Oreochromis niloticus: one gene and its partner. The protein of the gene in region 2 binds, or shares a complex with, the protein of the main gene of each other region. Links are inferred from orthologs where the notes say so. Each region holds a gene or a part of one and is shown on either strand. Other genes may lie near its edges.

Region 1 (8,002 bases), on a different chromosome or scaffold from region 2:
TCCCCTGCAGTGATGATGGGCGTCTCCACTGTGACCTCTAAAGGTTTGGTGCCATTCGACAGCTCATTGGTGGCTTTGCTACACTGGGTGCCAGGATCCTCTTTGTGGCCCCCGACACCACCAGCGCTGCCACCTTTCTTGTGGGACTTTCCTCCGCTTTCCTTGTCTCCACTCTTGCTGCCGAGCGAGGACGTCGGATTCTTACACTTGGTGACACACTGGCCCATGTCTTCCTCCCGGTCCCTCGTCTGTCTTTCCTCCTCGCCTTCAGTCCCCGTCTGAACCACCTAGACGCCTCTTCTCTGGCCTCACAAGACGTCTCAACATACCCTCAAGCCTGAGGGGAAGAACATTATTAAGAAATAAAGAAGTTACACCCCGCAACTCTCAACAAAAAAGTTAAAAAGTGGATATTAGTACAGAGAAACACAGAAGATGTCAAGCTACCTCTGCTAAATCTACCACGATCCAAGTCTTCAATGGGAAGATTTAAAAACCCTGAAAAACAAAGCAAAACAAAAATAATCTATAGGCATGAATACAATGCTTAAACACTGTTCAGGTTACCATAGAAACCTTGTCAAAAGTAGTACAAGAGGAGTATCACCCTTAACCACAGAAACCTACCAGTGGGTTATGTGTTAAGTCAGAAGACCTATATAACTCTTATATGACGGCTGTAGGAGCTTTTCTTGGTATCACCATAGTTATAGGTAGTTAGTTATAGGTAATTAAAATAGGAATACAGTTCTATAAATATTGTGATACAAATAACTGCATTTATAGGTCATCCTCTGTGCTGTGTTCACATTAACGGTGTGTGTGTGTGTGGAGGGGGGGGGGTTCTCTTTGAACAGAGGAAGTTTTACCTCGTTTTATACTAAGCAGTAGATTATTGCACCATATTGTTTCTTCATTCTCTACTAGCAATAATGAAAGCAGATGAAAAATAAAAACACTGGAAACACCAAACATTGACAAAGAATACAGGGCTACTATGGTTATCCATGTCTCTTTAGGATTTTACAGCAACATATGTTAATTACACTGGCTCCAGATAGTTCGCATTTTTTTATACTAATATTTTGAATCTTGCAAGTTAGTATACAGGACTTTCTAGGTTTTCTAACAAGTAAAATGTGGCAAAAACACAAAAGGCATACAAGATTATGAAATCCTGACCAAGTTGCAACTAAACTGGAGTTTACATTAATCAAACTAAAGCTTGCTTTGTAAACTGCTTTCTCTACCTACCCATTTAACTTAAAAAATTGTTTCTTTGATGAATGCATGTTAATGAAATTAATCAGTCTGCTGACGGAAAAACATGAGGTGATCATGTGTCTGATAACTTATAAAATAGCTGACTTACAATCCTTCAGATGGCATTGTCTTTCTACTGAGCTCCATCATTGTGACCTTGCCATCCACAATGCTGAAAAGACACATTATCTTGTCATCATAAGCAGAAAGTGATAGCTCATCATTCCCAAACCTGCAGGTCTATTTTGGTCGACATGCTATGAATATGTCATTTGAGGACTTGCAAAGAGTTAGCCTTGTTTCAGGATTTTTCATTTACTTGTTTAGAACTGGAAAGAAGTCAGCTATGTTGCATACTGTGAACTGTGAAAAGCTGAGCTTTGACACGTTTGGTTTTAAGGAACTACATCTCAAAAGGGCCGCAATATTCCAGTTTGTGATGTAAAAGCTACAACTTCAGGAAACTTCTCAAACCAACTTCTACTTTTTGCAGTGATCACTGACCTAACAGAGATACGACCCTTGACTTCATATTTAATGCATGTATTCAACATCAGGGCAAAAAGCCAGTCCTGATCAATACATGGGGCATGTAGGGGCAAATCTCTCTCAGGTCTGCTGTGGCCAAGTTCACCTAACTAAGCTCAGATGGCCGTCTGAATTTCTATTTATTAGATTTTGCTTATTTGGCCAAATATAATCCACAATAAGCTGGCACGGGAGTTAGTAAACACTAAGCAGCCTAGTGACCTATACAGCCAGTAGTTTAACCAGATTATTAGCTCGTCCCGAGGTGAACTGGAATACGACTGTGTTACATATGCAACACTGTTATATCGATATATCCTCAGCTGCCCTTTACTAACATCTACAATAATATTATTTCAAACAAGTTAACGTTTGTTGGGCGGGTGAGCATAACAACACAAGTACAACACTCAAAAATATAGTGTAAACCGGCATTAAATAATCACCCGCACCTCGGACTTGTAACTATTACACACAAATTCAGATGGCAGTCGTTGTTACGCTGCTATTGAGCCACATTAGATCACCGCACCGGGCCATTTAACAGCTCCATCCCAACTGCCCGGCCCTGGCGACGTCGTCATAGCTAGCTAGCATCAGCTCGATTAACTAAAAGTTAGCTCTCGGCTATGCTAGGTATTTTTCGATTAAGACATCAAGAAATAACAAAATTATCACCGTGAAAAAACTTACCTTTAGGGGAAAACACATTCGGTCGAATGTGGATGTACATCACTTTGTGAATGGCTGAAGAAATTAAGTAGTTAAACAAGTTAGCCAAAAAATACGAACTGAAGCAAACTCGTCGCGTTAACTCAGATTGCTAGCTAACTAGCTAGCAGCTGATCAAAAAAAAAAAAAAACTTCCACATCAATGTTGAATTCTGTTCCACGCTTAGAAAATAAATAAGTAACAAGCTAGCAACTAGCTTTAGAGTCCATCTTCAGTTGTGTTCGCTGTTAGGTGTGAGTTAAAACGCCAGCTCGGACTAAAGCACCCAATTTCTTTGTGCTTCCCCCTTTTAGTCATTGAGTGGAGCTACATTATGGACATTTTCCTGCATCACTTCCTCCCTGCTTACAAGCACCCAACAGCTGATCCTCGCGTCTGCGACACTAACATACATCCTTTTTTTTAACCAATTGATGGAAGTATTCATATGACAAGGACAAAGTGGATGTTTTGTAGATCACAGTAATATCCGAAATGAAAAATGACTCAAAAACCCCACTGTAAATTAATTACAATTGCTCATACACATTGAACTGTAGAGGTGTTTATATTAATTTCTGCCTTATTTCTACTTTTTATCCACTAACAAGTGAAACAAATACAACTTTGACTAAAAGTATGTGAACTCTTTTATGTTTGTGTTTATTATTTAGCTTCTTCCCGATTAGCCATGGGTACGCGTCATCATTAGGCGACTGTCCTAGCAAGCGGCTGGTAAACTATCCTCTTCTTCAGACACAGGCGGTATGTCAATTCTTCGTTTGTAGTGTTAATTAAATTATGATGAGCGAATATTCGATTAAAAGCTGTTAATGTGACAGGCAGTAACGTTGACTTTAATTTAATGTCCCTGTCTTTGTACGTTTTGGTCAGTCACAATAAGGGCTAGCTTCAAGTTTGCAATTGATGCTAAAACATCAGTGAGTACAAATAACAAGAATGGTTTTATTTAATATACAGCGTCATTCAGTCTCCGCGCATACTAGAACATACAGTTAATACCTCTCCGTCAGTCATGTAACACTTTGTTTAATAACTCAGTGTTGATTTTAGTGGCATCTAGCGTTGAATAGGGCTATTATATTTAGCTATAATTTAAAAATCTAAAACTACAGTACTTTGCAAAAGTCTTTTCTTTATATTTTGCAAGGAAAATTTGAAATAATTTATATTATTTATATAATAGAAATACAGGCTAAACCGAGTTTTGCAGGCCTTGAAGGTCAATATTTGATATGACCACCTTTATTCTTCAACGCAACATCCTGAAGTCTCTTAGTCAGCTAACTTGCCATTTTATTAAGTAGTCTCCAGGAAAAGTTCTCCAGGCGTCTTCAAGGACATTCAAATCTCTTTTTTTATTATTTTTTTTATTTTCTGTTCTCCCACACTGTTTCAGTCATATTGTGGTCCATGCTCTGGCGGCCAATCCATGGCATTTCACAGACAGCTGTAGACACTCACTGTCATTGTTCTCTACTGACCTCCTTTGTACATAGAGTGACAATGATTTGTAAATGAATTTGAGAATTTGGATTCCTCACTCCATTAAGCCCTGTTGCCACTGATTTTTCAGTCCAGTTCTTGTGTAATTTGGCATACCCCAGGTTTCTTGAGACCATTTCAAATGTAGCTTCAGTGGACAGTTGATGGATCAACTAATGGGCCAGATGCATCTCTCAGGTCCTCTGTCTGGTCATACTGGATTTTTTTCCCCTATTTCTTAAGGACATGACGTTCAGATACTGTTCACCTGCTCTAGATAGTTTTTAAGGGATATTTTCATCTTACAACAATTTAGTTTCCTCAATTTTTTATGGACACATTGGACACCATGCAGATCTATGCCAAGTTTTCAGCTAATCGCTCGTCGGGAATCACCTTGTTGATGCAAAGATGCTGTGTTATCCTTGACATTTTTATTAGATTAAACTCAAGACTTTTGCACGGTACTGGAAAGATGTTCATATATTCATTTACTAGTTGCTTGCTTAGCATGCATATTATTATTATGTTACTCGTTATAACGTACTTCATGTCTTAATTGTGCAGTAAAGCTCTTAATTAAATTCCTAGTAGTTGAAGAAAAGAGCAATAAGTAATGTCACATCTAGCTAACTAACCACCAGTGGTATAATTGCGTAATAAAGGCTGTAAGTAAAGAGCATCCATCCATCCATCTTCAGCTTATCTAATTCAGGGGCATGAAATGGGGTACACCGTGGACAGAACACAAACAGATAATGCAGTAAAAACTTTATTTTGCAGGTATCTTTTGTTTTTTTTCTCAGATTCTGAGCCCTGATGACTGCCTCCACCCGTACCACTGTGCTGTCACTGTACATGCGTGTTTTTCGCATCGCCCGAACCTGGCAAGCACAGAGTGGTGTTCTGAGTGACACGGAGACAGAGAGGAAGTACATACTGCAGGAGGCCCGCACTCTTTTCAGACAGAACCAAAAGGTGTGAACAACACTCTGCTCACTAATACGGATTTGAAAAAAAGAAAAAATGGCTTTATAGCATCTTTAAGACTTCTGCTTTTTTTGTTTTTGTGTGTTGTTTTGTTTTTCAGCTCACAGAACAAGAATCAATAAAAAAGTGCATAGAGGAATGTGAAGCGAGGATAGAAATCGGTAAGAATGGAGAAAAGTAGCAAGTTGTTGTTTTTTTATGTCTGGCTGTAGTGAGCATGTCAAGAGGCCAAAATAGTAGCAACACCATTTGTTTTTTATTTTCATGTTTCTCAGGGAAATATATTGATAGTACGTAACCTTTCTAGCTCAGTTGTATCAGTGATTTTTGGGATGTTTTTATGCTTGTTGTCTTCAGCCTGAAAGCATGCAGAATGGTGTTGTTGACTGAATGTACTGAAACATCTGACTTGCACAAACATTCTGAAAAGGTTAACAATAATACAATGCTGCGATTATGCAACTCTTACACATCACACACTGATTCTTTGTCAGTTGAAAGGTTTTCAGCATGTCAAGCGTGAGTAAGCAGCAAAGCTGACCTGATGACCTGAATGATTTGGATAAAAATAATCATGGTTGAAACTGCAGAGGAAAAAAAAATAACAATGCAATCCTGCAGTAACAGGATGAGAAAAGTGCTATGTTGTGCTCTTACATACTTACCCAAACAATAATTTTTCTTGGCTTTCATTTTATAATTTGTTTATAGTTTGATGTCACTGACACATTGTTATTTTTTTATGTTTTTTAAAGGTCTTCATTACAGAAATCCATATCCAAGAGCTGTAAGTAATTACCCTTTATTAGACCATAATGGGTCATGTTGTTTTGGGGGAATTTTATTTGCATACTCTGTGTGTTGCAGACGTATCTACCACCCATGGGACTGGCAACTCAGAAGGGCAGGAAGCTGCGAGCACAGCAGCGCCTGAGGAAACAGGCCAAACCAATTTACTTACAGTCACATGATGAGACCTGATGCTCGACATCCCCGATCTTCGTCAAGAGTTCAAGTTACCAAGGAGAGAAAACTAGAGTGCTGTTGCAGTCGAGATGCTGCAAGCACTCAATGATGCAGGAACGCACGTCATTCAGGATAAAGCCACTTTTCATTGTATTTTCTTTTTCTTTTTCAAAACACAATCATGAGTTGTAACTGTAGGTGAAGAGCGTCAGATTCCTTTCAGCTCAGGAAAGCTCCCACTGTACCACTTTGTAATATCATACAAGTTTGTATGTTTTATTTATCGTTGAGTTCATTTGATTAATAAAAGTGTCTCAATGTGAAGGATTTCCAGACTCTTTTAAACTCACTGTCCGAAATCATGAAATTCACTAAATATTCTCTAATAATCTGTTTTGTTAGTAAAAAAAACTGTTTTCTCGTAAAAAACCCAGAATGCTATGAGAGCAGTTTGCTTTGATATTTTTTATTTACCTCAGTCCCCCCATAATAATGACACAGAGAATACAGAGGAAGAACAGCTCGGGGCGTGCATCGCTTTCAATTCCATTTGGGGATAACTCGCATATTGATTATAGTGGCAATGACCTGCAGGTGGGGTCAGTGATCCATGTCTAATATGACTCATGTTATTGTTGACTGAATACCGAGTCATTTTTCAGCACAGACTAAAGAGCATTCGCTCTCGCTGTAAAATGATCACAAATATTCTGCTCTCTTTAAAAGTTTACTTGCTCTGATCAATGAACACCTCTCATTCACGGACAGCAGGTATTATGCATAGTGACTCATGTGCAGTTTATAAAATACATTAAATGCACAATAAATGATGAAATTGTGATTTGAATTAATAATCCAAGAAAGCCAATCAACTTTACAGCAAACAATCAATGTTTTATCAACAAGAGGAAGCTTGTTCATCTTTAAAAGGGAAAATATTTCTGTGTTATGGTGGTGTGAAAAAGTGTTTGCCTCCTTCCTGATTTCCTATTTTTTATATGCTTGTCACACTTAAATGATTTTAGATCATCATGTAAATATTGCACATAGATAACACAAGTAAACACAAAATGCAGTTTGTAAATGAAGTTGTTTATTATTAAAAGGGAAAAAAAAATCCATACCTACATGGCCCTGTGTGAAAAAGCGATTGCCCCCTAAACCTAATAACCGGTTGGGCCACCCTTAGCAGCAACAGCTGCAATCAGGTATTTGTAAGAACTAGCAATGAGTCTTTTACAGAGCTGTGGAGGAATTTTGGCCCATTCATCTTTGCAGAATTGTTGTAATTCAGCCACACTGGAGGGTTTTCGAGCATGAACCGCCTTTTTAAGGTCATGCCACAGCATCTCAATCAGATTCAGGTCAGGACTTTGACTTTGAGGCCACTCCAAAGGCTTCATTTTGTTTTTCTTCAGCCATTCAGACGTGGACTTGCTGGTGTGTTTTGTATCAATGTCCTGCTGCAGAACCCAGGTGCCCTTCAGCTTGAGGTCACAAACAGATGACCGGACATTCACCTTCAGGATGTTTTGATAGACAGCAGAATTCATGGTTTCATTTACCACAGCACGTCTTCCAGGTTCAGAGGCAGCAAAACAGCCCCAGACCATCACACTACTACCACATTTTATTATTGGTATGACATTCCTTTTCTGAAATGCTGTGTTAGTTTTATGCCACATGTAACGGGACTCAAACCTCCCAAAAAGTTCTGCTTTTTTTGAGATCTCTTCAGTTGTCAGAAAGGTTTTATTTAGGTGATTTCTTAATTCAGCAGGTCTGGCAGTAATCAGGCCTTGGTGTGAAACTGAACTCAACTTTGTAAAAGATGTGGTTAATCACAGTTAACCATTGTTTTTACAAGGTGGGGGCAATCACATGTTCACACAGGGCCATGTAAGTTTAGATTTTTTTCTCCTCCTTAACAATAAACACATTTATTTAGAAACTGCATTTTGTGTTTACTTGTGTTATCTTTGTCTAATAGTTAAATTTCTTTGATGATGTAAAACATTTCGGTGTAACAAGCATATA
Region 2 (7,786 bases):
ATCCTCCACTGTCACACCAACCCTCTGCATGTCTTCCTTCAATACATCCATAAACCACCTCTGTGGTCTTTCTCTTTTCCTCCTGTCTCATAGCTCCATATTAAACATCCATTGGACAATATTCCCATTGTCCCTCCTCTGTACATGTCCAAATCATCTCATCAACTTTGTCTCCAACCTGATGTGTGCCTCTCATGAACTCATTTCTAATCTTGTCCATTCTGGTCACCCGCAATGAAAATTTGCCACCTCCAGGCCGGCCTTCTGTCTTATTGTCAGTGCCACCATGTCAAGCTACAGATCCTAGCAGGTCTCACTACCATCTTGTAAAACCTCCCTTTTATTCCTGCAGCTCTCCTGTCACAAATTACCCCTGACATCCATCTCCACCCACTCCACTCAACCTGCACTCGCTTCTTCATCTCTCTTGTGGACTGTCTGTTGCACTGAATGGCTGACCCCCCCATTTAAACTCATCTACCTTCATCACCTCTGCTACTTCACCCTTACATCCATCTCCCTCTCATTCACATGTATTCTGTCTTGCTTCTACTGACTTTCATTCTTGAGACCATAGCTTCACCTATCCAGGCTCTCTTCCACTTGATCCCTACCTACTCTCACTACAGATCACAGTCATCTGTAATCATCACAGTCCATGGGTGGATGGTCAGCCTGTCCATCACCACTGCAAACAAGAAGAGCTGATCCCTGAAGTAAACTCACCCGACCTTGAACCCATCTGTCACTCCTACTGCACACCTCACCACCATCTTGCTGACCTCATACAGGTCCTGCACCACCCTTACATCCTTCTTTGCCAGTCCTCACTTCCTCATGCAGCACCACAGTTCCTCTCTGGACACCCTATCATATGCTTCCCCTAGAACATTAAAGACTTAGTGAAGCTCCTTCTGACGTTATCTATTCTTCCCCATCAACACTCTCAAAACAAACATCACATCTGTAGTAACGTTACTTGTTAACTGCAGTTATTCAAACATTCACACTGGTTTCCTCCCACAGTCTAAAATTGAGGACAAAAATTCAAAACTTCTCATGTAACTGTGGTTTAAAACATAATGCTGTTACAATCATGCACATACAGGTAACACAGAGAATAGAGAGGAGCAAACACACGGATCACAGCTCTTTCAAGGTAAATTGCATCAAAGGCAAACAGTAAAAAGTCTTCTCTATTTTTTCACAGAAAATTAGTACTACTACATATTACATACATCACTACAACTACTGTGAAAAAATGATTTTAAACTCGTTCATATGTAATCCATCTTAATTGCAACTCATAAGTAGTAATGGATAAACCTCATCATTCCTTTGCGTCTTAATTCATCTTTTTGCATACTTCCTGTGGCAAAACACTGACATATGAGACAATTTCATAATGGTGAAATATTAAAAAGAATGATATTAGAAAACCCAACTCACTGCAATTCCGAATGATGTGCAGAGACGTGCCGAAAAAGTTTTGAATTATAGATATGTTAAATATTATTTCCTGCACAATCATGCTTTTGATCTCGTAGCTACCATCTGGTTGCAGAGAAGGTGTGAATTTAGTGTGAATTTAGTGTGAATTTAGTGGGGGAGGATTCAAAGGTAACTCAAAAACAGGATCTAGTCTCGCACAACACAACATTTCCATCAACAGAAGGAAATCTTACTGCACACATTCCTTCTGTGTGATAAGCAGGTCAAGACATCATGGAGTGTTATATTTCTTTCAGGGTCACTACTCGTACAGTACAGTCCACAGTCAGTCATGGGCTGGAAGTTTTCATGACGAGAAAACAGATGGACCTTGAATCCAGGAACACAGATATACTGTAAACAAACAGTGTCTGAGGCGGAATGTGACCCTGGCTGTTAAGGGTAAATCATCAGTGGGTCACACTGAGGACAGCACTGGCTTGCTGTCATTTGGCCTATCTTATCTTTTTCCTGACAGGTTACATTTTTTTATCTGGAACATCATGAGACATTGCAAATGCAATATTTGTCCTCCGCTCTCATCTGACATCAGACTCAATCGTTTTGGTCTTTTGAAAACATCATGTGCCACGGTGCTCTTACTGTGATACTGCTTCACAGACAGCGCAGGCTGCAGCTCCCGGTCAGTGTGAATCCAGTCTGAACGATGTGGGAAGCAGAGAGGTATCAACTATCAGCGGACCGTGAAATGTGTGTCACTGCGCCTGAGTCAAGGCCCACCTGCCTCAGCTGTCACTCACTGCTGCACCTCCTTGACACATAGTACCTGGATGCCGGTCAAACAGTAAGCAGGCAACATATGACACATCTGTCAGTCCTACCGCAGTTCCAGCGATCAGCGAAATTGAAAATGTAAATCCCAAACTTCCCCAAAACCCAAAACCCAAACCGAACGTGACCCAAACTAGAAGGAGCCGGCTCCCTTCTTATAGCACCCAAACCAAACAGGGGTGTAGTCCACGAGTTAAACCTTTGTGCGGGGCTGAAAGTGATTCAAACACATTCAGGACTCGTACTAAAACTTTTCAGAGTGAAGTCACTGCCTCGTCTCCGAGCTGTGGGCTGCTGTGCAACCGTAAAATAACAACAACAAATGGCTCACACTGCTCAGCACGGCTAGCTGGACACTATGTCCAAGCTCATAAGCAGCCTCGGCTCGAGGTTATTCCTCTCTAAAAGTAGATGGGAGCAGCTGTACAGCTGAAAGTTGCCCGCAAAGTCTGTGTGCTAACTGCTGTTAGCCTGTGTGTGATCTGTGTTACCTGCTGTCTCAGAGCTAGCGCTCCGCGCTACACCATAATCAGCCGCCCCTCCTCTGCTCGGGCCGCAGTCTGCAACTCCAGCCGAGGGTCGTAGCAGCTCCGTGCGCCTGTAAATAACCTCAAAAATGACGCCCTGGAGGCACGAAATGGATATGAACTGATTTAGGAATCAGCTGTCAGAACTTCGCTCCGGTGTCATGGGCAACGGAAGTGCAGTGAGTAGTTTACTTTATTGTTGTCCGTGTAGACACTGCAGCTGATAAATAGTTCCGCAGGGCGGCAGCCGTCTTCTCGTCCGTTCTAGTAAGTTCCAGTTTAAAATGAGCAGTAGATGATATGATTATTTAAAAAATTAATTACAGAAATAATTTAACATTACACTGGTATATTATTTGTACATCTGCACGTGCATTAAATTTATGTCATTAACTACAGCAGCATTTCTTTGTCATGTTGAAAAACTGAGACGTACATTTTAAAAGTGTATGTCTTTTTTCTTATATTGAGATCTTCCAGGGATTCATTGTGCAGTTAAACTAAAGATCAGAGTGGGCTGTAGTTTGAGTTTGACACTGTTTCTCTAAAAGGACTTGGCAATGAGTAAAATATTTCCACTTCTCCACAAATAATGTGTGTTTATATATAATTATGAGCTGCATGTAACCAGATATATTGTTTTCAATGGAGTCAAAAATGGGAAACATTTAATTGTTTTTATTTGATGAAAAGACGGGATACATTTTTGTTCTGCACGCACACTATAAATACTAGTCCTCGCATAAATTCAGTGATTCTTTATCAAAGTACAGACCTGCCACAGCTTAATGCCTCTGCATTTTTTCAGACTTAAGGTATATATTTGACCTTCTTCTTCCTCCTCCCCGTCTTCCTCAGTAGCACAATCCTTACTCACTGCCTTGAAATGACTTCATCATAACTGGAGCCTGAGTCTGAAGGGCTTTCAGGGAAAAATCTCAGTCAGCCTGAGTACTGCACTCACCTTTCTTTTGACATGACATAAGATAACTTTGCCACCCTGACGGTATACATGTTTCAATATAGCTATAATGTACTTATATACTTGTGCTAATAACATGTTTGTAATATGAGCAGTGAATATTAACATGTCAACCATGAACATTTGAAACTACATTTTAAATAAAGCATATCAGCCATCTTATTCTGGCAAAGCATCACCTGTTTTCAAAATTAATCAATAACTCAATATTTTTTTTACCATTATACTTCATCAACACTCTAAAACAAGAGTGTTTCTGAGGAACCAAGTTGTGTGATCCATAATGCATGTACAAGATACATTTTAAAGGGTTTGAAAAATGTAAACTCATGAGAAGAAAGAAAAGGAGAAACGTTGTATAGACAAAGAGGAGTAAATGCAGTCATGTGACCAATGGGAAACTAGGACACGGTGCAGTTTGTGGATTGAGTGAAACAGTGGAGCATCTTTGATTAACATATGTAAAATATCAGTAAGTAAAAGAAAACACTGAACAAAAGTGGAGAAATACACGAGTGCAAGTGAATAGTTTCAATATGTGTTTGTTGATACAAAACAGCTGCAGTCTTTTTATGAGGAGGCTGGAATCACTTACACTCGGGCCATGTGGATAATTAAATACACCTACAGGTCCTTCTGCACTATTAATTTGGTTGAAGTCTGGACTTTGCAGCACCGGATGCCTCGCTTTTCACTCTAGAATACTTTAGCATACGGAGGAGCTCATGGTCGAATCAGTTGCTGCAAGGTGCCCAGGGACTGTCCCGGCAAAGCAAGCCCAAATCATCACCCTCTCAGCACTGGGCTTGACACTTGGAATGAGGTGTTTGTGCTGATGTGTTGTGTTTGTTTTTCCACATGTGGTGCTATGTTATAGACAAACATCTCCACTTTGGTCTCATCTGTCTAAAGCAAACTTTTCCAGAAGTTTGGGTTTGTTCAGAAGCAACTGAAAGATGAGGCTTTCTCCTCGTAACCCTTTCAAATATTGTTTGGTCTTTTTCTAATTGTAATGTAATGAACTTTAATGTCTAAGAACTGCGCAAACAATGTACAAAGCAGCAAATAAATCTTTGCCCCACAACATTCAGAAGTTCTTCCAAATAAGACAAAATACTCATGACCTGAGAGGAATCCTTATGTTCAGCAAGCCAGCAGTAGGGACAAATGTAAATAAAAGAGCATTACAGTCACATGAGTTAGTGTGTGGAACACCTGTACAGATGAAATCAAGAAAAGTACATCAATACACAAATTCACACGATTGTTTAAAAATAATAAATTGCATTAATATAGGAAATATTCCTCTCAGTGACTGAGTTGTCTCATTGTGCTCTATTGAAGCCTTGTCCTCCTTTTTATAGATCAAAGCCAGAGTAACCCAAGCTTAAAGCGCTCATTAAGGTATCTGTAACATAGATATAAAATAGGCTCAGAGATTAAGCAGGTGTTAACCACAGCGTGCTTAGTTTATGTAAAAATGTAGTTTGTTATTGTTTCGGTTTAAGTGCTGAAATTGTTTTATGTGTTGTATATGAGTGCAGACTTGTATATAGTTAAACATGTACGGATCATATAATGTCGAATTCTGAATGTGGATTTGTAAGTAATAAAAGTTGAAATACGGGGGTAGGAACAGGAAAAGTGTAGACTTCATCCTACTCTGAGCACACTCATTCTGTAGACATAGATATATACATGAAACTTGATGGTTTTTAAGTTTTGTTTTTTCTTGTTTCTCTTGTTATTTCAGATATATCTGCATGTTCAAATTAAAATCCTATCTATCTATCTATCTATCTATCTATCTATCTATCTATCTATCTATCTATCTATCTATCTATCTATCTATCTATCTATCTATCTGTCTGTCTGTCTATCTGTCTATCTATCTATCTATCTATCTATCTATCTATCTATCTATCCATCTATCTATCTATCTATCTATCTATCTATCTATAAAATACTAACTGAGGCCTGTACAGTCTGAGATGTAGTTCTTGGGTTTTCTCCCCATCGTTGCAGAGTCTGACCGTTGGGGATGTCTCAGGAGGAAGAGCAGCTCCGCCTAGGAAGATTGTAGGATTGGATTTGCAGCACCTGTCTGATACTTTTCCTCTTAATCCCTTTGGAAGCTGTAAGGATGCTCCATAAAGTCCTGTGCAAACCTTTCTGACTGTAAATGCAAAGATAAAGAGAAATCACAGAAAAATTAAAAATGTAGTATTCTTTGTGAAGGTGTTCTCTTGCATTGCAGTGCAGGGCAAAGGTTCATAAATTCAAATGTTAGGATGCTTATGAAGAAGCATCTATGTATGAAATGAAAACCTCCTGTTTGCCATGTCTGCACAAAGACACACAAACACACTCAGAAATATAAAGCGGAGCATTTGCTGTTTGACAGAACGTATTTTTCTTGGAGCAAACCCAGTTCGCCCTAAAGTATTTGGACAAAACTGTGATTCACTCGGCCAGTTGTTGTAGGAACGAGGGTGGTGCTGTCACTGTAAACAAGCGCATGCTCTTGACTGACCCGTCTGATTAGATAAGGGTCTTAAAAAAAGAGGGGCATATTAATCTTGCAGCGGGTGTGCGTTCTGTTTTTCATCTACATGTGTTTAGACAGGTGTTGGCCATCAGGCTTTCTGGCCAAAGGATTTACCCCGTGACTGTGTGACGTTCACATCCTCGCTTCACACAACGCGTTTGTTATTCAGAGGATGTCCAGTAACAACAAAGCGTACATCTGTATTTATTTGTGGGAGTGTTGGTGCTTCATTGTAGAGATCGAGAACCAAAGTAAATAAATAAATATTTATAATGAATAGTGTAAAAATTACACTCGAACCCAGAGCAAATAAATACCCTCATAAATCAATGAGAGTTTTAGCCTAAAGAGAGAGCAAGAGATCAAGAACACACACTAAAGAAATGGACAAATTAGACTTTCGGTCCTTAAATGACCCCAATCCAGTACTGAAAATCAAGGCATTTACTAAAATTATGTATACTGTCACGTCAGGGCCTCAGATATGGGCAGAAATCTGTGCCATCAGAAACTGAATTTGAATAAGTTAAATTTGAATTTGAATTACTCGGATTGAATCTGAATTGTAACTTGAATGAAAGCTTTTGAAAACTGAATTTGAATTAGTCTAATTTGAAATTGAATTTATGGTTTGAAACTGCATTTTATCCTTTAAAAATTCAGCTCTCGAATAATTTCACATTCACTTCTCACCATTCAGTTTCAGTTCTACAATTCAATTTCAGTTCCAAAATTCAGTTTTTTGGGACTTACATCCGGTTCCGGTTCAAGCGCAGATTAATAGAACTACAGACTGATAGCGTTACTGACGGAATCTACAGCGTCTTGAGCTGAATTAAGACTTCAGAAGTCATTCGTCATGTCGAATGACCAGCGGATAAACTCTCAGGTTGGTAATAAATGTATTACATGTATAAGAACAAGCGTCATGTTAACAATTGATAGCCGTACAGTAACCTTTATGCTTATTGTAGCTGCTAGCTAAAAACGCTAATTTAGCCTAGTTTGCCCTGGATTCAGCTTTGACAGACAAATATGATCGACTGTTTCTAGTAGAATTCCAAAGTTGTCATCTTGTACCCTCTCAGAGCCCTGTATGCTTGCAGAGACCCCTACAGTAAGGAAACATGCAAAACGCTGTCCAAACCTTTGTATTTGAGCTTTATTTATGTCTTACACAGCATCCCAACTCTTTAGCGAACTTAATAACTTTAGCTAAAGTGAATAGTTAGTCTTATTCATTAGTGCAGCGTTACTGGATCACCTCTGTTTGAAGTGATATAATATGATATACAACTATCACTGTGTTTAACTATCATAATAATTCTTAGGGTACTGAGTGCATGCTTAATTAGATTTTTTTTTTTAAAACATACTGCTCCATTGCTATGTTTGACAGGCTGAAGTTGTCGGGTCACCTCCTAAATCGACCATCTTTTACAGGTG

Evidence for each region. The genes of interacting proteins can lie anywhere in the genome.
Region 1: the proteins of ube2f (region 2) and dcun1d3 are in contact, whole or in part, in a crystal structure (PDB 4GBA), measured with the Homo sapiens proteins. The link is inferred for Oreochromis niloticus from reciprocal best matches to the Homo sapiens genes UBE2F and DCUN1D3. Residues at the interface, in NP_001265234.1 of Homo sapiens: Leu2, Thr3, Leu4, Lys7, Leu8; in NP_775746.1 of Homo sapiens: Glu108, Glu109, Glu112, Pro122, Thr123, Glu124, Met139, Cys140, Glu194, Ile204, Ala207, Leu208.

Annotation. Positions count from the first base shown.
Region 1 is NC_031973.2:19,637,899-19,645,900, forward strand, and holds the start of dcun1d3 (DCN1-like protein 3), read right to left. Parts: upstream 3,020-8,002; 5' UTR 2,485-3,019; intron 2,457-2,484; exon of another isoform or gene 2,244-2,456; intron 1,436-2,243; 5' UTR 1,373-1,435; intron 499-1,372; 5' UTR 448-498; intron 338-447; 5' UTR 228-337; coding exon 1-227. Other genes in the region: lyrm1 (LYR motif containing protein 1), read left to right, coding at 4,829-4,987, 5,100-5,160, 5,755-5,786, 5,867-5,980. UniProt on the Homo sapiens protein: Contributes to the neddylation of all cullins by transferring NEDD8 from N-terminally acetylated NEDD8-conjugating E2s enzyme to different cullin C-terminal domain-RBX complexes and may play a role in the cell cycle progression by regulating the SCF ubiquitin E3 ligase complex, after UV damage.
Region 2 is NC_031987.2:3,580,194-3,587,979, forward strand, and holds the start of ube2f (NEDD8-conjugating enzyme UBE2F), read right to left. Parts: upstream 3,008-7,786; 5' UTR 2,775-3,007; intron 2,279-2,774; 5' UTR 2,095-2,278; intron 1-2,094. UniProt on the Homo sapiens protein: Accepts the ubiquitin-like protein NEDD8 from the UBA3-NAE1 E1 complex and catalyzes its covalent attachment to other proteins. Together with the E3 ubiquitin ligase RNF7/RBX2, specifically neddylates cullin-5 (CUL5).